Linked DNA regions of Mus musculus. The protein of the gene in region 5 interacts with the protein of the main gene of each other region in a biochemical or structural test. Links are inferred from orthologs where the notes say so. Each region holds a gene or a part of one and is shown on either strand. Other genes may lie near its edges.

The links.
Region 1: the proteins of Nrip1 (region 5) and Nr5a1 form a complex in vitro, tested with the Homo sapiens proteins (2 studies listed by BioGRID). The link is inferred for Mus musculus from reciprocal best matches to the Homo sapiens genes NRIP1 and NR5A1.
Region 2: the proteins of Nrip1 (region 5) and Esr1 form a complex in vitro, tested with the Homo sapiens proteins (4 studies listed by BioGRID, with this or other methods). The link is inferred for Mus musculus from reciprocal best matches to the Homo sapiens genes NRIP1 and ESR1.
Region 3: the proteins of Nrip1 (region 5) and Thra form a complex in vitro, tested with the Homo sapiens proteins (4 studies listed by BioGRID). The link is inferred for Mus musculus from reciprocal best matches to the Homo sapiens genes NRIP1 and THRA.
Region 4: the proteins of Nrip1 (region 5) and Rxra form a complex in vitro, tested with the Homo sapiens proteins (2 studies listed by BioGRID). The link is inferred for Mus musculus from reciprocal best matches to the Homo sapiens genes NRIP1 and RXRA.
Region 6: the proteins of Nrip1 (region 5) and Ahr form a complex in vitro, tested with the Homo sapiens proteins (2 studies listed by BioGRID). The link is inferred for Mus musculus from reciprocal best matches to the Homo sapiens genes NRIP1 and AHR.

The regions. Positions count from the first base shown.
Region 1 is NC_000068.7:38,701,043-38,704,542, forward strand, and holds part of Nr5a1 (steroidogenic factor 1), read right to left. Parts: intron 1,045-3,500; coding exon 925-1,044; intron 1-924. UniProt on the Homo sapiens protein: Transcriptional activator. Essential for sexual differentiation and formation of the primary steroidogenic tissues. Binds to the Ad4 site found in the promoter region of steroidogenic P450 genes such as CYP11A, CYP11B and CYP21B.
Region 2 is NC_000076.6:4,709,008-4,712,957, reverse strand, and holds the start of Esr1 (estrogen receptor), read right to left. Parts: upstream 2,801-3,950; 5' UTR 2,664-2,800; intron 993-2,663; exon of another isoform or gene 847-992; intron 646-846; 5' UTR 575-645; coding exon 111-574; intron 1-110.
Region 3 is NC_000077.6:98,755,285-98,758,784, forward strand, and holds part of Thra (thyroid hormone receptor alpha), read left to right. Parts: intron 1-823; coding exon 824-891; intron 892-1,638; coding exon 1,639-1,739; intron 1,740-3,500.
Region 4 is NC_000068.7:27,750,201-27,753,700, forward strand, and holds part of Rxra (retinoic acid receptor RXR-alpha), read left to right. Parts: intron 1-2,111; coding exon 2,112-2,241; intron 2,242-3,500. UniProt on the Homo sapiens protein: Receptor for retinoic acid that acts as a transcription factor.
Region 5 is NC_000082.6:76,289,977-76,293,049, forward strand, and holds part of Nrip1 (nuclear receptor-interacting protein 1), read right to left. Parts: coding exon 1,206-3,073; 3' UTR 1-1,205. UniProt on the Homo sapiens protein: Modulates transcriptional activation by steroid receptors such as NR3C1, NR3C2 and ESR1. Also modulates transcriptional repression by nuclear hormone receptors.
Region 6 is NC_000078.6:35,500,735-35,503,989, forward strand, and holds part of Ahr (aryl hydrocarbon receptor), read right to left. Parts: coding exon 2,979-3,255; intron 1-2,978. UniProt on the Homo sapiens protein: Ligand-activated transcription factor that enables cells to adapt to changing conditions by sensing compounds from the environment, diet, microbiome and cellular metabolism, and which plays important roles in development, immunity and cancer.

The DNA.
Region 1 (3,500 bases), on a different chromosome or scaffold from region 5:
TTTTTGCACTCTTGTGGCCCAGAGTAACCCCTTTTGATCAGCATCCCCATTCCTTCTTCCAGTGGACTGAAACATGGGAGATATGAACCCAAAATGAGGACATAGGTCCTGAGAGGCAGGGGCAGGAAGTAGGACCTTGATCTGCATTTTGTTCCAGAACCCACTGTGCCCACTATTCAACCTGTGTCCCCTCATGAGGCCACTCTCCTGTCTCCAGAGATTTTCTTTTCTTCCTCCTACTTCTTTCCCTATACCTCCTCTCACCATCTCTGTGCTGTCCTCTTTAAATGTGTCCCAAACCCCAGCACTTTAGGCTCCTTCACCCACATCCACTAGGAACCCTAATGTCCCTCCTGTGGGTGGAGGTGGAGTTCAGGAGTTTCCAGGCCTTCCTAATGACTTCCCACCCCGTAATACATTCTCTGATCTAAAAGGGCCAAATTCTGAGTCTGAGCTCTCTTTACTTTTCGCCCACTCTTGTGTTCCTTCGTTCATTCGTTCATTCATTTATTCATTCATCATTTATGAGAATGGAGACCTACAGGGTCTCACCTGCTCACCAGCCCTTAGCAATGCCTGCAACCTCATCTCTTACACTTGCCACCCCACAGTTCCTTGGCCCTATTCCGAATCCCTTCTCAGAGTCCTAGATCCTGCAGCATCCACATGTGTGACAGCATAGACTGCCACCTGTCACTTCAGTACCAGCTGACCAACTCTGCCTTATTTTGGGGAGATCCAATTCCACTGTTATCTCCTATAAGAACTTCCACTGACCATTCCACACTGTGGCTCCTCAAATGGCCCCAGGACACAGAGAAGCCTGGCTAGTGCATGTCCCTGAATTTGGAATTTGGGGTGTCCCGAGTCAGCCTGGAGAGGCCTGGGATTATGCAGGACTAGGGGTTTGACCAGTTCAGTTACCTCCTGTCCAGTAACCAGCAGGATGCTGTCTTCCTTGCCGTACTGGACCTGGCGGTAGATGTGGTCCAACACCAGCAGCTCGCTCCAACAGTTCTGCAGCAGTGTCATCTGGTCAGCCACCTGTAGGGAAGAATAATGCAGAGGTCTAGCTGGGGACTGTCCTCCGGGCCCTTCTCTCAACTCTCTGCTCAAAGTCTCAGATGGAGACTATCTTCCCAGCTGTTTGCTTCATTGGGTCCCAGTGAGGGCCTCCTTCAGGCCCCCATTAGATGTGTGACCTCACACGTGTCCCAGAGTTTTTCTGGACCTCCATGTTTTCAATCGTTCAGTGACTCCCGGTGTTTGGAGAGGGCCAGTCACATATCCCACACCCAGGAAATGTCAAAGACTAGGAGTTAATGCTGTGAAGACCAACCCTCACCACTTATGCCCAGTAGAGGACCTGTGATCATGGCTGCCCCTGCAGGGTCCCTGGGGGGAGCTGCAGAGGTACCTAGGCTCCTGGGGAAGATAGAGGAGCTACTTGGCTCATGGGCTCTCAGCTGTCTGCAGCGATAACAGAACAATGAGCAAGGTAGATTCTAACGATCAGGGTGCAGTTGGGCCTTGGAGCCCAGGGGAAGACAGTCCCTGCTGAGTATCTCCCAACTCTGGGGTCATTGCATCCTCCCACAGAAAAGACAGATGCTTCCAACAGGAGCAACTTCTGCTTAGTGCCATGATAACTACAGCCAGAGACACTTTGCCATCTCCTCCTTCACCCCTATACCCAACCTCTCTTCCCTCACTGCCCTATCCCCACTCACCTCCTTTTTCCCCACCCAGCCCAAAGCCTTTCTTTTTAAAATAATTGTTTTACACTTGTGTGTGTGTGTGTGTGTGTGTGTGTGTGTGTACCACAGTGTGCATATAGAGGCCAATTCTCTTTTTCTACCACATGGGTTTTCCAGGAATGGGATTGAGGTTGGCTAGATCCTCCCAGCTCTCTCTGGACCACACCTTGCAGTGACTACCACCAGCCTTGCTGCATGTCAACCCCGTTGACAGTCCCCATCATTTTACAGAGAGAAGAAATTGAGCACTGAGCTCAGGCAAGGCACCTATGGTTGTACAGCTCAGTGTGAGTCTAGGTCCATGCTCTTTACCAGACATAGAAGACAACCTCCCCGCTTGTCCCACTTGCCACCAGGACTTCAGAGTCTCCTACAGACTGGTTACCTTGTCCATGAAGCCCCAGCTCAACCCTGCTTTCTCACTACCCTTTGGAGCTAAGATGGCACCAATCCATGCCTGTCTTTCCTGGTACTTTGGAGTATGAGAGGGCAGGACTGGCTTCCCCCATGCCACTGTTGGCCCTTCAGGCATCAGCAAGAGGCTGATGAAGGACACTCACTCCATAAAGCTTCATCCTTCCCTCAAGCCCAAGGAGAGATAACTAGACGTAAAAACTAGCTCTGCCCTCAGTTTAGCAGCCTTTCCCTCTTCTCTGGGGCGTCCTCAGGCAGGTGATGAGAAAGGAGAGGACAGGTGTGTGGGCTAGTCTTATGTCAACTTGACACAGCTAGAGTCAACTGAGAGGAGGGAACCTCAGCTGGAAAAATGTATCCATACGGTTGAGCTGGAAGGAGACCTACAGGGCATTTACTTAATTGGTGATTAGTGTGGGGGGAAACACGCCACTGTTCTAAGCTGGTGGTCCTGGTTCTATAAAAAGGCAGGCTGCTCAAGCCATGGGGAACAAGCCAGTAAGCAGCATCCTCCTTGGCCTCTGCATCAGCTCCTGCCTCTGGGTTCCTGCCCACTTTGAGTTTCTGTGTTGACTTCCCTCAATGACTGTAGCTCAGGATATGTAAGCCAAAGAAACCCTTTCACGCCTAAATTGCTTTTGGTTTTGGTTTTGCGTTTCAACACAGCCATAGTAATCCTACCAAAGACAGAGGGTCAAAAGGAAAGAGCATCCAGACAGTCATGCAGGCTCCTCGGGACCCCACCCACCCACCCCTGCTCCAACACACAGGGCAGGAGAGCAGGGGGGGCCTGCTTCTGCCAGTCCTTACCCATCTCCTCTGGGTCCCTAGCCTAGGCCTCTCTGCTTGTCCTGAGCCCCATCACTGTTAGAACTGAGACCCAGCCTCTGACCGCGGCTACTCCCCATCTCTCCTCACATTTCCCTCTCCATCACTCTTTCCAAGGAGTAAACTAAAACGCAGTGCCAGAGCCCCTCATGCCTGCCAAGGTGACAGATACTCATGGGACAGATAGTCAGACAGAATCACCCAGGTGAAACCAGGCAGGGGGATCTAGAAAGTTCTCTGGGGCCCCTTAGAACTTCTGGATGCCTGGGTGGGGGAAAAAAAAAACCTATAAGACGGTCACAGTGGCAACAAAGTAAATAGAGACCCATGTGGGTGACCCAGAAAGAGGCCCAGCAGGGTTGAGCATTCTCTGTCCCCATCTCAGGCATAGGCGCAGATACCCTTGTGCCCAGATGGAAGAAGCAGGGCAGGAGAGACGATAAAGAGGAGTAATAGGAGATAAGCAGACTGAGCCTTGGCAGAAGGCAGAGAGGTCACATC
Region 2 (3,950 bases), on a different chromosome or scaffold from region 5:
CTTCCCCGAGGGCTGGGATGGGGAGACCTGCAGCCCGCGGTGACCCCCCTCGTGCGCTCCCTCCCCCGGCCAGGCCTTACACAGCGGCCACCCCGATGTGGCGCGGGTACCTGTAGAAGGCGGGAGGGCCGGTGTCGCGCACGGCGTAGGCGCTGGGCTCGTTCTCCAGGTAGTAGGGCACCTGCTGGCCGTGCGGGTGCAGGAAAGGAGACAGCTGCGGCGGCGGGTGCAGCAGCATCAGCGGGCTAGGCGACACGCTGTTGAGCTGGGGGAAAGCCCCCAGGCTGTTGGCACTGAAGGCGGCCGCCTCCGACCCGGGGCCGTAGGCGATGCCCGACTGGCCGTAGACCGGCGCCGAGGCGGCGGCGGCGGCGGCGGCGGCGGCGTTGAACTCGTAGGCGGCGCCCTCGGGGTAGTTGAACACAGTGGGCTTGCTGTTGTCCACGTATACCTCGCCCAGGGCCCTCTCCATGGGCATCTTGAGCTGCGGGCGGTTGAGGGGCTCCAGCTCGTTCCCTTGGATCTGGTGCAGCAAGGCCATTCCCGAGGCTTTGGTGTGAAGGGTCATGGTCATGGTAAGTGGCAGCCGGCGAGTTACAGACTGGCTCCCCGCGCACGCAGAGGGCTCAGCAGCGCGTGGGCCACCTGGAAAAAAGAGTAGAGCCTGCGATTAGAGAAGGCGCAGCGCAAGTCCCCCTTGGCACGAGTACTGGCCCTGGCCCTGCCTCTGCCCCTGCGGGGCAGAGCTATCCTGCAGAACACAGGTGACCCAACTCCAAGGAGCGCACCCAGACGCTCCCGGGTTCTCCAACTTTACATACTCCTCTCCTCTGCTCTTAGACAAACCTGCTGGAAGCCACTGGCCAGGGGCTGCAGCTTCCAGGCACTACTGGGAACATCACACTGTGCGTGCACCCAAGGAACCGCTAGCTTCCTTGAACTTAACTTTCCAGGTCTTCGCTGCTGGATTTCGCTGCAGGGGGTGAAAGCAGCAAAGGGACCTCCAGGAGCCGCGCCCCTACCACTCCCCCCATCCCAAGGAAGACTAGGTTTGCAACAAATGCAGACTAAGCCACAGGCCATTTTCTTTCTTTCTTTCTTCTTTTCTTTTTTTCTTTCTTTCTTTCTTTTCCTGATGTGTTGCCTGTGTGCCTCTGCCAAGCTCCAATCTGTCTCTGTTTTGTCTTCCTTTCTATTTGATTCAGTCTTCTTGTTGGCTGGAAGTACGCAGTGTATGCATAGAATGACCCTGGAGGGACGGTAACTGTATCTGTAACTGAGATATGGCAAATAGGATGGGGTGTGTGATTGCATATGCAGCCAGCCACCGACAGCTATATTTAGCACCAGTGGACACAGATAGGAGGCATCTAGGGCCAGACGAGTGGAGATGGACTATGTATAGGAAGAGCTGCACTTGGAGTCAAGAGAAAACTGCCAGCCTTCAGCTTCCTCTTCTGACAAAAAAATAAAAATAATAATTTTTTTAAAACGCTCCCCAAGAAAGCACAGCCATGGCAATTTTGCCCAGCCTAGCTTTTCTGTTTTTGTTGGACCCCGGTGCCAAATTTGCTTCCTTTAGAAATTCTCATGTGGATATGATTCAGAAAAACCTTCGGTTAGGCACACTTGGGTGTCCCTACCTTCCACAGGTTATGCAACCAAAAATTGGGAAAACCATGCAAGGACTAAGACATTTTCCCATAAAATATCACCTGAGGTCCTTGACTAAAGCTCTGGCGATCCGGTAACCTTGTCTGTCTAACCAGAAACTTTTGAAAGGCTCTCCTACCTTTCAGCTCTTGAATTCTACAAATGGACCTTCTGGGTTCCCTTGGCATAGGGTACACAGGAATCTAATACTCGAATGACAGAGAAGTTAAAATAAGTTTTTTATTCAGTATTGAATTAAATTCTGATTGAGCTCACACACACCTGTTATTGCAAATTTAGAAAAAAATTGCAGCTTGGATAGTTTGTACTTTCTTAATAAACTGCATATGCCCCAACCTAATATCCCCTAAAATAACCATTAGCATATGACTTGAATTGCTAGCCCATATACCCAGGAGAAGTACCTGACACATGCAAATGTCAAGGTTGCTGTTACTAATAGTAACACTTTAAAAATATTTTCTACTAAGCACACTATTTATCTAATTCTTAGAAAAACAGATAATTTTGGATAAACCACAGCTAAGCTGGCTTAAATCTAAAGACAAAGATGAGTTTTAGCACCCATAAGTATCATTGACAGCAAAGGAAGGGTTAAAAATACATTAGGTGAATCGCAGATATTTCTCTTTATGGCCAGCAACCATGACTTTCTAGAGCAATTTTTTCGTAGATGATTTAGTTCCCATAAATCACACTTTCAATTTTCAAATGCCTTTTAAAAAACACATGCAAAAGCAAGCACTTCAGATGAGACTCTTTAAAAATCTGAGCCTGCCAAATTATATATAAATGGCACAGAGAATCCTACAAGTCCGGAAAGCGGGAAAAAAAAAAAAAAAAGCCGCACAGATTTCCCCCCATAGAAAAACAGCACAGCTTCCTTCTCCAGCTAGGAGACAGACACTAAGCAGAAAGGTAAGTTGCTTTCTCAAATCGCTCAAGCTACAGAGAGAGAAAGAGAGAGAGAAATCAAAAGCCGATCCTACCCTGCTGGTTCAAGAGCGTCTTTCCAGAAATGTTCCATGGGTTTGTAGAAGTCAAGGGCTGAGACAGTAAGACGGAAGGAAGGAATGTGCTCGAATGATCGAGTGGCGCGGTGTGTGATCAAGGCAGAGCGTGTGTGGATGTGTTTGTATGTGGAGTGGCAGGGACTCTCGGGAAGCAGCCAGTAGGCAGGGCACTTGGCAGCCCCTCCCGGCAGACAAGGCAGCTGGGCTCCTGCACGAGCTGGATGAATGGCAGCGGGAGTCCGGGAGCCTTGCTGTCTGCTGAGGGACAGCAGTAGCCCCGCTAGAATCAGCATTCCTAGAAGAAACTCCAGCCCCCTTTGCTCCCTACCTGTAGAGCCAGAAATGTCCCGGTGCTTTCTATGGAGAGGGAAACTGAGATGGCTGTGAACCACAGGCTCACAGATAAACTAGAATGCCAGTCAAAGTGTGCAGAGATCAAGTTTATAAACTATGCCAGGATATCTTCTTCCTAAACGATGTCATTTAACAAGAAAAGCCTTCTGGGATACATATGAGTCAAGCCCTCTAGCCCTACTGTTCCCCTGAATAAGATGCTCAGTGACAATGCTACCAATAACATACAAAAGTCAGACTTCGCAATAAATATTTTTGGCATTCCAGGGATATGTTTCCAACTGAAATGCAAGACTCCCTCACTTCATTAGTCAAACCTACCAGCCTCTCTACCAATAGCCTACTGACTACTGTCTGTAAACACATCCCAGAAGAGGCATTATTTTAATCGTAAAGTTGGAACCATAAAATAGCTTTGCGTTAAAGCGATTACACGTTCACAGCTGTAGTTACCAGCATTGGTTGCAGACAGAGATCTTGTACCTCCAGTGCTGTCCCATGGATACACCTGGTTCTCAGTGCTTCTCTCCACCACAGTACAACACAGATTAACAAGGTACTCTGACTGTGTCCTCACCCTGGGTCCCAGGACACAGGAGGCCTAAAGGAGCCTTTGTTGTTTAGTAACTACTTTAGGTATTAAGTGACTCTAATCACAACGCCAGGAGTGGCCGGTCTCCAGCCCTAGGACCCTAGGCAGTTACCAAGAGATATATGAGTGGCACTTGGGCCAGTACAAAGAAAGAAATAGAAAGAAAATACTAATGATATCATGCTGCAACTATACGTTTTTGTGCTTGGAAAGACTCAAGGTCATTATATCGGGACTTAGACAAGTTCCCTCAACAATCAGCAATGACCATAAATATCTAATATATAAATAAGTATCGAGAAGTTGCGGTGTGAGTA
Region 3 (3,500 bases), on a different chromosome or scaffold from region 5:
CTGATTCTGGCGTGGTGTCCCAGCGTACAAAAGGCCCTTTGGTTTTCCTATTTGTTAACTGGAGGCTGTGAACAGGGTAACCCTGATATTTTCAGTCCATGTGGGTTATTTAGCATGTGTACATGACCTAGAGATTGAGGAACATGTTCACACGGGACAGAGGGACGACACCATTAGGTGCCTGTCCAGAGGCTTTCTGTAGCACATGGGTACCTAGCAGAAGTCTTAGAGAATGCCCAGAAAATTGCATGCAATTGTAGATCCTAAGGCTTATTACCATACTTGGGTTTATGCTGAAGGCTGCATAGTTATTCACACTCGTGGGTGTGATATTGCATATATATATATATATATATATATATATATATATATACATACATTTGAAAGGTTATATAGATTTAAGAATATTCCAAGGAGTGTCCTATATATTGTGGCTGGAATGTATATGTGTGTATGTGCGCCTTAGAGCAGCGCCTTCCTGTGACGGGTGTCTGTGTGTTTGGGGACTTTTGAGCATTGCTTAAATGTGAGATGTGTGTGTTTGTGTTTTGGGGTCTCACAGCAATACCTGTCTGTGTGACTGTACTGGGCCCTCAAACATGGTTTTGGCCCCATCTAAGCCCCTTATCTCTCCCATGCAGCGACCAGATAGCTAGACCCTTTCCAAGCTTTGTCAGCTGATATAGGGGTGGGGGGTAGAATAAGGGCATAAGGAGGGGGGAGAAACCAAGCCTGGGGGAGTGGAAAGGGGTGAAGTCTCTTAGGTGGGAAGAGACTGCCCAGAGGCTACTCTGTGTGATTCTGCCCACTTTGCCCCATGCAGTGCCAGGTCACCAGATGGAAAGCGAAAAAGAAAGAACGGCCAATGTCCCCTGAAAAGCAGCATGTCAGGTGAGCCTGGCTACATGTGTCCCTTACCCTCCCACTTCCCCTCCCCCCACAGCACACTTGGCCTCCTCCCAGGCTAGGCCTGGACCTCCTGTGTCTCTGGAGGGAACAGCCTACAGAACATGGGTTGGATTTGTCTGGTGGTGAGAATAGTGATTCAAAACCTATTCTGGCCTTTGAGGAGGATGTAGGTCAGGAAGGGCCTCTTTGACCCTCCCATGACCTCCTCATCAATGGTTCCACCGGCCCCAGGGCATCTGTTCTCCTAAGATGGTTGCTTCTTCTCCAAGTCCCTTACTCTATTCTATCACTTAGATGTAACGTGGAAGAAAACAAAAGAGCCCTACCTAGGCCAAGTACAATGGCACCTACCTGCAGTTAGTGCTGTTTGGGATACCCATATAGGAGGATGGCTTGAACCAGGGGTTCAAGGCCTGCCTGGGGAACATAATAAGATCCAGGCTCAAAAATAAATACATGGAAGTGAGTTGGGTCCCTGAGTGGACAGTCAGAAAAAAAAAAGACTTCCATTATATATATCTGAAGGGAAAGGGAGGGGCAATCCCCACCCCCTCCTCCCCTGGTACGTCCCCAGGGTTTTTCCTTTCTACTTTGAGATAAGGAGCCCCTCCCTCCGTGGTGATGGACTGGGAGAGGGTTGAGAAAGGCCAAGTTGGGTGGGTACAGTGTAGGAGCTGCTCTGATGGGCTCCGCCCCATGCCCACTGCCTTCACCCTTTCCCCCTCCCAGGGTATATCCCTAGTTACCTGGACAAAGACGAGCAGTGTGTCGTGTGTGGGGACAAGGCCACCGGTTATCACTACCGCTGTATCACTTGTGAGGGCTGCAAGGTATGGATGAGCCGTCTCCCGTCCGCCCCTCTCCCGTTGCTGGTTCCCCTTTGAGTCTGATACCTGGCGTAATTCAGTCACATGTAACCTAGAGTGGACCGGTTGTATCCTTTTCTCTTCTGCATTTATCTGGTCACTTGTTCATTCATAACCCTTGCTGTGACACTCGTAGCTGTGACACTCGTATGCCATGTGTCTAACCTCTCTGAGCCTTGGTTTCTTCTTGCTACCTTCGTCATAGAGTTAATAAGCAAATTAAATGAGCTAATTCACCTGGCACGGCTTTAAGTAACTGCAGAGGGGTGGGAAGAGGATCTGGCAGAGGTGAGACTCGCGACTGTGATAGCCTTTAATACAGTGCCTAGCGCTGTCATAGGGTCAGACATCATTCATTCTTAGTGTGTTAGGAATGAGGGGTGTGAGGCTAAATGTACTGCACACCTGGGATTCTAGTACCTGGGAGACTGAGGCATAAAGATCATGAGTTCAAGGTCACCCTGGAATGTCTGGTTGGTTCTGGGCCAGCCTCAGCCACATGCCCAGTACAGTAGCACACAGATTTTATCCCAGTGCCCTGAAGGCACAGGCAGCCTAATGCCTGTGGGCTGAAGCCAACCTGATCCACACAGTGCATTCCAGACAATCCAAGGGTACACAGTGAGACCCTGTCTCAAAAAAAAAAAACAAAAAACAATAACAAAAACAAAAAAGAGCATGGTACACAGTATACATCATACTCTCAAACTCCTTGCAATCTACCAAAGAAGCAATCCACACAGGATCAGTGTCTTTCAGAACATAGGTCATGGAGGCTGGGGAGTTGGCCCTGTGGGAAAGTGCTTACTGTACAAGCGTGAGGATGCGAGTTCGGAGCCCCAGCTTCCACGCAGAGAGCTGAGCATGGCAGCATACCTGTCCGTGACCCAAAACTGTGAGACAGAAGCAGGAAGATGCCCGAGGCCTCCTGGCTAGCCAGTCCAGCTTGTCTGTCACATATGCTCCCTAGTGAGACCCTGTGTCACATAAAAAATGAGGTCCGGGGCTGGTGAGATGGCTCAATGGGTAAGAGCACCCGACTGCTCTTCTGAAGGTCCGGAGTTCAAATCCCAGCAACCACATGGTGGCTCACAACCATCTGTAATGAGATCTGACTCCCTCTTCTGAGTGTCTGAAGACAGCTATAGTGTATTTACATATAATAAATAAATAAATAAATAAATAAATATTTAAAAAAAAAAAAAAAGAGGTCCGAAAGGTGGAGAATGATTGAAGAGGACCCTAGGTGTTGACCTCTGGCCTCCAAGTGCACATACACAGGCACACACCCTGTGCATGCACACGCACATATGCTCTATACTGAAGATTCCTGGGCTACCGGCAGTAGTAAGTATACTGCAGATTCCCAAACTGTGTGTGTCCCCTACTTTGTCCAAACCTTATTGTGGTGGAGCCCAGGACTCTGCTTTTAACAGGAGTCCCAGGAGCTCCCAATGTATCCGGAAAAAACTAGGACCTGTGCTGAAGGGTCATGATGGGGACATAGAGGAGAAGATTGCCAAAGGTTCTTTTTAGCAGAGGATCAAAGGCCACAGACTTGGAAAAGCCTATTAGATACAACCTGTTTCAACCTGTATGGCTTTTCTGGGACCACCACCTCCTGCAGGTACAGGTCTTTCCAGAAGGAGATCATTTAAAAGTGAGACCAGGCATGGTGGCACATGCCTATAGCCCCATATTCAGAAGATGGAAGCAGAAGGATTA
Region 4 (3,500 bases), on a different chromosome or scaffold from region 5:
ACCTGCCCAGTGCTCTGGTTGGCATCTGTTCCCTAAGCCCTCTTCCCAGTCCTGGAAGGGAGAGGAGAGCAGCAGGACTCGGCTTTGTGGACTAGGGCCTGAGGGTGGTTGGCTGGGGTCTGAAGGGTGACTAGGGTTTTCCTTTATCAAGTAAGGCCATTGTTGGGAATGGCCTCAGACGTGGCCTTAGCTGTTCTTCCATGAGGGTTCAGGTCTTTAGAGCGACACTGTGGAAAGCCTGTGTGCTCCAGTGTCTTGTGACTGGCCTTGATCTACATACATGGACCTCTCAGGCAAGCTGAGGAGGATAGGCTGCACCTAGCCTCACAGATGGGCTGCTGGCTCCTCCGGGTCCTGCCTGGGTGGTCTTGTGACCACGCCTAGCTGGCAAGTGGTAGCTCATTAAATGTCTGCTGTGGAGTCTGCTGAGAGGAGTGAAGCTACAGTGGAACGGAACAGGGCAGGACCAGAGTACTCTCAGCCCTCCCTTCCAGACAGCCCTCCTGTGGGTGCCTGCTGGGTGTGGGCCCTCACACCTACGTGGCCCCTGCCTCCTTCTTTCCCGGCTCCTCTGCTCAAGCCTTGTGTCCAGTCCTGGCAGACAGCATGTGTGTACATGGCCGCAGAGGCCACAGTCAGCCCCGGAATAACTTTGAGCTCTTTTTCCCAATCATAGTAGTATTGTGACACTGGATTCAAGAGGGTGGCGGCCAGGGAGAAAGCTGAGATCACAGAGCTTGGGTGTGAGGCTTGTTGTCTTACAGTCCGGTCTATGCATTCTCCCAGCTGGCTTAGGGCCCTCACTGTCTCCTGTCTTGGGGCTGCCTCCCCAGGAGATGGCAGGGAAGGAATACATCCACGGAGCAGCCCCTTGTGGCTGAGAGGCAGAGCCAGGCTGCAGACAGACAGTCCCTAGTACCTGTGGTGCCGGGGCTCCACTGGCCTCTCAGGTTTGCTGAGGGTTGTGTGGCTGGGAGATGTCACCCATTCCTTTGGACTCTGTCCTGGGGACCATGGGCTGCCGTCCCCTGTCCTTGCAGCCCTGGGCTTCCCTGCAGCCAGGCCTGCCAGGCCAGTGATGGGAAGCTGATTTGTCAGTGCCTTTCACTGAGCGCTTCACGGGCCCTTCACACGGGGCTGGGTGTTTAGACTGAACGTCACTGCTGAGCAGATGGTTTCTGTCAGCTGAAGGAAGCCCTTTAAAGCCGACAGTTCTCTCCTTATCGGATGCTTGGCTACTTCTTTTTTCAAAATCAGGAGTCTTGTATCCTGTTCTTGGGTACTCTTGCCCACCACACCCTGAGGTCAGAGGCTGTGACCCTGGCCCACCCGACAGGGTAGGCTTCCCAGCCTACTGTAAGGCCCACCTGAGTTCCTCACCTATAACAAGGCCTGGGTGTTCCTCTTCTGGGCAGAACTTTCTAGAAGGCTTCTGGTGATATCACCTCTACCTGCAACTTGGAATCCGGACCAAGCAAAGACCAGTCCAGCCCCAAGCTTGTACTTGCATGTTTGATAGGACTTCTCACCTGGGTGGCTACTGCTACCTTTAGAGATGGGGTCTGGCCCTATCTCAGCTCCCTCACCTTCCTGTTAAATGGCTCCTTTTCCTCTTCCCCCAGCACCTGCTCTCAGGGGTGGGGAAGACCTGATAGGCTTCCATGGTACAGATTACGTTTCCTTCAGCCATTGAGCTGTGTGACCCTAGTCTGTCTTGATGGGCCCCAGTCAGGTTTTGGGCAGCGCTGACTCTTATCTTCCTGCCTTTCCTGATTTGGAGGTTCCCCAGGCCCCCTGACTTGGGACTCCTGCCAGCTTCAGGTCAGCCATGTCCTCTAATCTGCTTTTCCTGATAACATCCCTTCTGACTTACAGCCTCCTGCTTCTTCTGATGACCACTGCCTTGGTACTAGTCCCGCTCCAATAAGCCAGGGCTTCCTCCAGCCTGTTACTATGGTGGATCTCTTCTCAGAGTCCTTTCACTGTGCCAGGCCTCCGATGGTTTGGGATGCAGATCCTGGGACCCCACTCCATGGGTGTTTTGTGTGGGGTGAGGTGGCTCTGTCGGCTATCAGGTGTGAGGTTTGATCAATGTCCTTTCTCCGTTCTAGCCAAATGACCCTGTTACCAACATCTGTCAAGCAGCAGACAAGCAGCTCTTCACTCTTGTGGAGTGGGCCAAGAGGATCCCACACTTTTCTGAGCTGCCCCTAGACGACCAGGTCATCCTGCTACGGGCAGGTGAGTAGCCTGGGCAAGTGGCTGCTAGTGGATCAGTGGGCTCCTGCCCACTCCTGCATGCGGTATAGCGCTACCTTCCCCTTCCAGCTTAGAAAGTCAGTAAAGGGTCTCCTCGGCTGCCCGCCAGGTCTATGTGACCTCTGCAGCCGTGTCACCTTGGAAGCTTCAGGCTTTTTTCTGAGCAGAGGTCTTGATGCAAGTGTCTGGAGCATAAGAGTGTGTGTCTCTCATAGCCAAGGGGACTGTCGGGAAGGAGTGTAGCCTTGGAACTTGGGCTGAGGCTAGGTCTGTAGGCTGCCCTGGTCCTTATTGATTAACTGGGCATTGGGGCATGCTGACTGTTGCTCAGAGTCCACCAGGTCACCAGTAGGGGTGTTAGGATCGAGAGACTTAGATCGCCAACCTGTGGAGAGATGGGGATATATTGAGAATGTCACCTGCAACTCTTGCTCGCCACAGAACTGTGGTGACAGTTGACACTACCCCACTCCGGTGAAGAGCCCTGGAGACCATGCTGTCTCGAGGGGACTGAGTGCCCTGACTTGCTTTGGTTTTCTGCTTGCACCAAGGGCTCTCAGCCTCAGCCCACCCCAGTAGATACCATGAGCAGAGATGGTTCCCTGTTGTTTTGGAACCTATTTAGTTGGGGTGAGGCTCGCATGGGCACTGATCTTCCTAACTTCCCTTTGAAAAGACCTCTTGGTAGGTATGGGTTGCTGAGATGAACAAGATGGATCCTGCCATGTTTGCCTCTGCCTAGGTGGGCTTGTGGGATGGGGCATGTGAACACAGGACTTCTCTGAGGCTGGGAAGCACTGTTCAGGGGGAACTGCCACGGCTGTAGGAACTGCAGAGCCATCTGGCCTTCTCGCTTAACACAGGTGTCCCAGTGAGCACTTGCCACTGAGGCATGTCAACCCATGTAGAAGGGACAGCTCTAGGGTGGAGCCTCGGGTGACCTGCTCAGTGTGGGGCTCAGGTGCCTAGAAATGAGATGAGGCAGAATTGGCCCCACATATCCTTATGGGGACCCTGAGGTCACATTTCTGGGCGTGATCTCCCCTGTGGCAAGAAGCTTATCAGCAGGCCCCACTTCTCAAATGCTGACTGCTTCCATTTCCCATTGTAAAAGGGGTCGGTAGGCTTGGAGCCGGGATATGGGAACCACAAGGCTTGGGAAGTTTCTGGACCTGCTGAAAGGCTCCTGCCACCTTGTCAAGGAGCCCCTGGCTGTTTGTGCAGAGTTCTGTCTTCTCTCC
Region 5 (3,073 bases):
TGGATATGTGACTGTATTGGGGGAAAAGTATAGGCATCAGATAGTTACTTTAAAGTCTCATGTTCTGGAAAAGTCCTAAGCCACAGTTTTCAAACATCAGTGTGCGGAAGAAGCACATACAGAACATGTCAGGATACAGGCGGAAGGAGGACGCCCGGGTCCACTTGGAGACGGTGTTCTGTAGACCTGAGATGCTGCCTAGGAGTCTGCATTTAAATAACTGTTCCAGAGACTCATGTGATAGTCAGATGAATGCAGTGTCTCTGTCCAGAATTAAGAAATCCTGGTTGTAAAGTCACGGGTCCCACAGGAGTGGTGAGGATCAACTTTCAAAAGAGACGGTAAAAACCATCCAAAGAAAACCCATTTCTGCTTTTGTTAAAAACGATTTCTAAGTAGTCAATTGTCCAGGAAACAGCCTGAAGGTGAGTGAAGATTTCCTTCTCTAATTTTGAAAAAGGAGGAGTATTAATTTAGTAAAGTAGTCAAAATATAAAAAAATGGAAATCTGCCTTTTATTTTTAAGGATCTATTAAACTCCCCTCTATTGTAATCAATTGTTACTAAATAGTAAAAGGTTTAAAGAAATATATATATTGAAAAGGTCTGGGGTGGGGCAGACTCATTGGGAACCGCAAAACCCCTTCCAAGAGTTAAAAAGAATTTTGTTTAGCAAAAGTGAAAAAATGTAAGCATTGCTTTTTCTTACTTTTAGACTGATGAGGTGTGAATCAGCACAAGGCTTCTGGGTTTTTTTTTTTTTCCTAATTTGGTTATCTTCCAAATAGCTAACAGTTTGGATGTTACAAACACGTTATGTAGGCTGGCTTCTGAGATGGGAAATGAACAACCCTAATAAAGACAGCAAGTTGCATCAATCCACTACTGGTGAAGTTGTGCATTTTAATGTATGCCTCTTATTTACGATTATAAAAACAGGTTCATTCGTAGGCTAGTCACAGTTGTTATCTGATGCATACAGAAATAGTAAACAACCAACCTCGAGTTCAATTGTTTCCTCATGACATCTAATGTTAAGCAAAAATTAGTATGCATATTTAAACATCACCAGTGACCAATACTTTCAAAAGGAAGGAGTTTCAGTTATACCATGCTTTTCTCAAATCATGCTCTTATTTATACAGATCTCAAGTTCATACTGACTAAATTTTAAAAAGACCCAAAGTGGTATGGCAGGTACACATTTATTCTGACTCTTTTTTTATGGTGAGCGCGTTTCCCAGAAGTCCATACACTTCTCCATTTGTACTGTGTGGGCGAGAAGCATTATTTCCCATATGGCTATTGTACGGGCTTCTTAGATTAAAGAAAGAAGCTTTAGTTTCTGCAGCGGGAAGTAGCTCTTCTTTGACTGTAACCTGTGAGAGACTCTCGGCTGACGCAGGCTCCCTCCAGATGTCTTTGTCCTGGGTTTCTTGTGTGGTAACAGAATTGCCCCCTCCCTTCTGGAGCATGTAATAGAGGATCGGATTAGTTTTGGTCAGTCTTGGAGAGTCTTTTTCGTATTCATTCTTATCCATATCTGCGATGACCCACTTAATGGGTCCCTTCTCACCGGGCACGGAACATCCATTCAAAAGCCCAGGTTCTGGTCTGGACCCCACACAGCCCAAGTGCTCTGGGAAAGGAGGGCTCAGAGGGGTCTTTACCATTCCCGGGTATGAAAATGTCCTATGATCCGTCACACAACTGCCAGGCTGCGGGGAACTATACATCAGTCCATTTAAAGAAGAAATGCCGAATTCAGGTTTGCTGCCGGGCGCGTTGTTTTTGTGTCCTTTCTTTTTCGTGTCGGGGACAGAGTCACTCCTGTGTGGGGACAGATCTCGCACACAGTTCTCGGAGAGCAGCAGCTGCTTGAGAACATTGAAGCTTTTGCTCTCTCTGGCCCAACTCCTGTGGTCACCATCGCTGGCTGAACTATGCCCAGCAGGGTATTTATAATCGAGCTCATTCCTGCTAAACTTCAGCTCTTCCTGATGAAGCAACGACCCGTAGAGTACTTCCGGGCCGCTGTGATGATTGGCAGTATCTACGGCAGTATTTTTCATCTTTTTAAATGGATTCTCCAGTGGTTCCGTATACAGCTTCCTTTTCTTCGGGACCATGCAGATGTTCTTCGACTCCAGGGTTGGCAGCTCACTGTTTCTGTGACTCTTGTCCTGCTCATCTGCCGGGTAACTCTCTTGATTCTGTCTCAGCAAGCGACTCAACAGCCCGTTCTTTGAGAAAGAGAAATCCTGAGGTGAAGCAGGCTCGGATTTAAAGTCCTCCGACACTGGTAAGGCCGCTGTGCTCCTGTGGATGGCGGGAGTCACACCTAAGAAGGGGGCGCTCTTGGCATCGTGGTTTAAGGGCAGGTTTGTGTTGTGGGTCTGGAAGTCGTCACAAGGCTCGGATTTAATCTTCACCATGAGTATCTGTTCATTTGCAGCCCTCTCCGAATGCTCCTGAGGAGCCTCGTCTCGTGCGGGGGTTTTCTCTTTCTTCTCATTCTTCCCTTTGCTGGAATTTCCCAGGAGCAACTGAAGGACAGTCCGTCTTTCCAAGAGATTTTCTATCTCACAACCAGGAAGTCCCGGCTCAGGCCCGGCAGGCTGACTGCTGAAGGCTTTGCTCTCTTCAGCCGCATTGGTTTTATTTGAGAGCAGAGGGCTGTTTAATCTATCAATCAGACCGAGAGGTTTGTCTGGGTTTCCACTTAACAGCTGTTTGCAGGGTCTCTGCTCTTCCCCTGGCCCGGAAGACTGCAATCCGCACTGAGCCAAATTTTGTAACAGTTTACTGGCACTGAACGTGGCGGAATTTTGTGCACCTTCACTCGGGGCTGGTTTCTCGGCTTGGGACTCTTTGCCTTTCGTGAGGTCCATCAGGTGGCTAGGCGCGGTGTTCGTGAGCTTGGAAGCGGGAGTACTGCAGGCATACGGCGGGGAATTCCACTTGATGACCAGAGAGTGCTGGGAAAGATTGATGGGAGACTCTGCTTGGCTGGCTGTATACAGTGGTGGAGTGCTCACTGGGGTAGTCCTGTTGGTACTGGGGCTTTCGATGA
Region 6 (3,255 bases), on a different chromosome or scaffold from region 5:
TCTGAGGAAGACCTTAAAAACGACTTTTAGTCTGTTAGACCTATGGGTTGTTTCACTTTACAGTCCTGTACTGATGATGCTCATGGCTAAGTCTTTCGTCATTCAAATCACACAGAGGAAACGCTCACACACTGACTTCTTTTGGAAGATCAGGTTTTCTCATTAGTCCTACAAGATAATTTAAAGATGGTACAGCGAACGCTACAACTATCTCACTTCGTCTGCCTTGGGGCCTGATGGGAAATTATGTGACATGGGGTGTCAAAGGGTTATTCAGTCCTGCCACAACCAATCAAAAACCTGGAGGCAGTGAACTGATTCTATCCGAACTTCTACACAGCATTTCAGACACCAGCACTTTTGCCCAGATCTGGATTTTAAATGTTTCTTGCTATTCTTGCAATGTTACACTACAGGTATGATCTTAATCCAATTTATTTGTAAAATGTGTTTAATAAATTGTTCTGCAAGTTACCAAATAAAAAAGATGCTTGGTTAGCTAGTTGCATCAGAGAGGAATTTCTCAATTGAGAAAAGATCAAACTGTAGCCCCAGCACGGGCTGAAGGCTTTTTTTAAAAACAAACAAACAAAACCAATTTTTTAAAGAGAATGGTTATTTCAAAGAGATTGAACTTTTAATGTGCTCACATTTGTAAAGACTGTGGGACTTTTAAAGTCATTTATGTTTTATATTGTGGTAGTAATATTAATGTGCTATCTTGGGGATAAATGCGAAAGGAAAGGTTCTGTCTGAAAAATGTTTTGTGTCAGGTTGACAAGGAGTCAGTTGTTTGGCTAGTTTTATGTCAACTTGACTCGGCTAAGGTCACTGAGGGGAGACAGCCTCAATTGAGAAAATGCCTCCACTAATCTGGCTGTAGGCAGGCAAGCCTGTAGGGCATTTTCTTAATTAGTGATTGATGTAGGCTCAGCCTATTGTGTGGCTCTATAAGAAAGCAGGCTGAGCAAGCAATAGAAGGCAATCCAGTAGAAAGTACTCTGCCATGGCCTCTGCATGAGCTTCTGCCTCCAGGTTCCTGCCCTGCTTGAGGTCCTGACCCTACTGCTTTTGATGATGACCTGTTATGTGGAGCTGTGAGTGATTTAAACTCTTTCTTCTCAGACAGCTTTTGGTCACGCTGTTTCCTCACACCCTAACTAAGACACCTGCCTTCTTACCAGTCTCATATCCAGAACTGCTAAAACAGTGAAGAACGAATATAACAGTTATAGTCTACAGAAACTTCACATTGTGGTGTAGTTGATGAAATAAACTGAGATTAAAATAAAAATCATAAAATTATCCCTTTAGTTGCCTCAAATTACTCACTTCTTGTGTAGTGCTGGAGGTCCAGTGAAGGGCCTTGTGCATGCTAACCCGGCTCGACCACTGAGCTAGCTATACTCTTGACCTTTTGTTCTGTGTCTCACCATTTTCCAGACTGTCTTCAAATTCACTCTACAGCCCCAACACCAGGCATGAGAAAAACCCTTTTGAGTTGCTGCTCAGGGTTGTCCTACAGGTAATATACAGACTGTGCAGGTTGTATTTAAATATTTAGGAACACACACACACACAGAGCAATGAAAGAAAAGAGGCCAAGAAACTGAAAGAGAGCAAACATGGTAGATGGGAAAGGTTGTAGAAAAAAAAGGGAAACAGAAAAGGAATACAATTATGGTTCATTTCAAAAATAATAAATTAAGAATAAAATATTATGTGTATAGTTGTTTTGCCTGCATGATGTATGTTTGTATGTATACACACACACACACACACACACACACACACACACACACACACACGTGCATGTGCAACACAAGTATGCAGTGCTCAAGGGTGCAGAGAGAGCACTGGGTGCCTGGAAGTGGAAACTGTGGACTGTTCTGAGCTCCCATGTGGGTGCTGGGGATCAAGAAGGGTAAGCAAATGTTAATTGCCAAGCCATCTCTCCAGGCTAGAAATGTTGTTATTTTTTTCACTGCCGCACAATTACTCATATGAACAGGTTACAATGTGACATTTCAATTCATCTATATAGTGTGTAAGCAAATCAGGCAATTATCTTTCACTGTGAACACTCATCTGTTATTTGCATGAAGAACCTTTGATTTCCTTTTTTTCTAGTGATTTTGAATCATGCAATGAACTGTTGTGAACTTCTGTCATCCTGCTATGTTGTAGAAGAGCCGAAGTTACTCCCACTATCTGTCTGTTACTACCCAATAGCCAGCCCCACTCTGCGGCCATTTCCAGCATCTGAGGGATCAGCCTTGGAGGTTTGCACACATGGATGCTCTCTATATTCTATAATGTCCTTCAGACACACCGCTTTGAGGCAAATACTAATATTCTATTCTTTTATGAGTAAATTATATCCAAAGTATGGTTAATCCATTTTCTTTATAATAACTATTAAAAATTTTTAGGAAATCTTTTTCCTAAAAATTTTCAGGAAAAAGATTGACCAAAACTATCATCTTCATTCTCCATTCAAAAAAAAAAAAGTCCCATACAATCAGACACAGCAGATTCACTCACAATCTAAAAAGCAACCAGGACTGTGATTTAAGCCACACTTTTAAATGGCTATACTCAAACAGCTCATGAATAGTTACTTAATAAACTTCATGTTAGTCAAGATATTCTTACAATCTAAACCAGTATATCTTCAAATAAGCTAATATTTGTAAAGAGAAATTTATTAATATAAGCATGATATCCTCCTGAGGGGGTAACAAAGAACAGTTATTAAATTATCTAAACATCAACTTGCTTTTAAGAAAATTATTTAAAATAATTTATTATTCATACTATTTTAAGTAAACTATAATGAAGTTAATTACGTGACCATAAATATAACGAAAGCAGTTCCGAAGTTGCTTGCTATCTAAAATGGGTTATGATGATATGTTTAAGTGTAATACAGAGATGCTTAGGCCTACAAGGTTTTTTCAGCTGTCGAAAGCCCTTACCTTGCTTAGGAATGCCTGAGAACCTGGAATTTCAGAGCTGTACTGCGTCTGGTCCACAGGGGTGCGCTGTGGCCCTGGCTGGCACTGATACATGGACATGGCCCCAGCATAGTATGCCTGAGGACTGACCATGGCGGACTGTGAGTTTATCCCATGACTTTGGTTTTCAGGAACTTGTAAACAACTGACAAAATCTAAATTAGAAGTAGTGGGATGCAGGGACGGTTCAAAATCCCTTCCAGGGAAGTCCAACTGCACACTCTTGGAATGTTCTGGA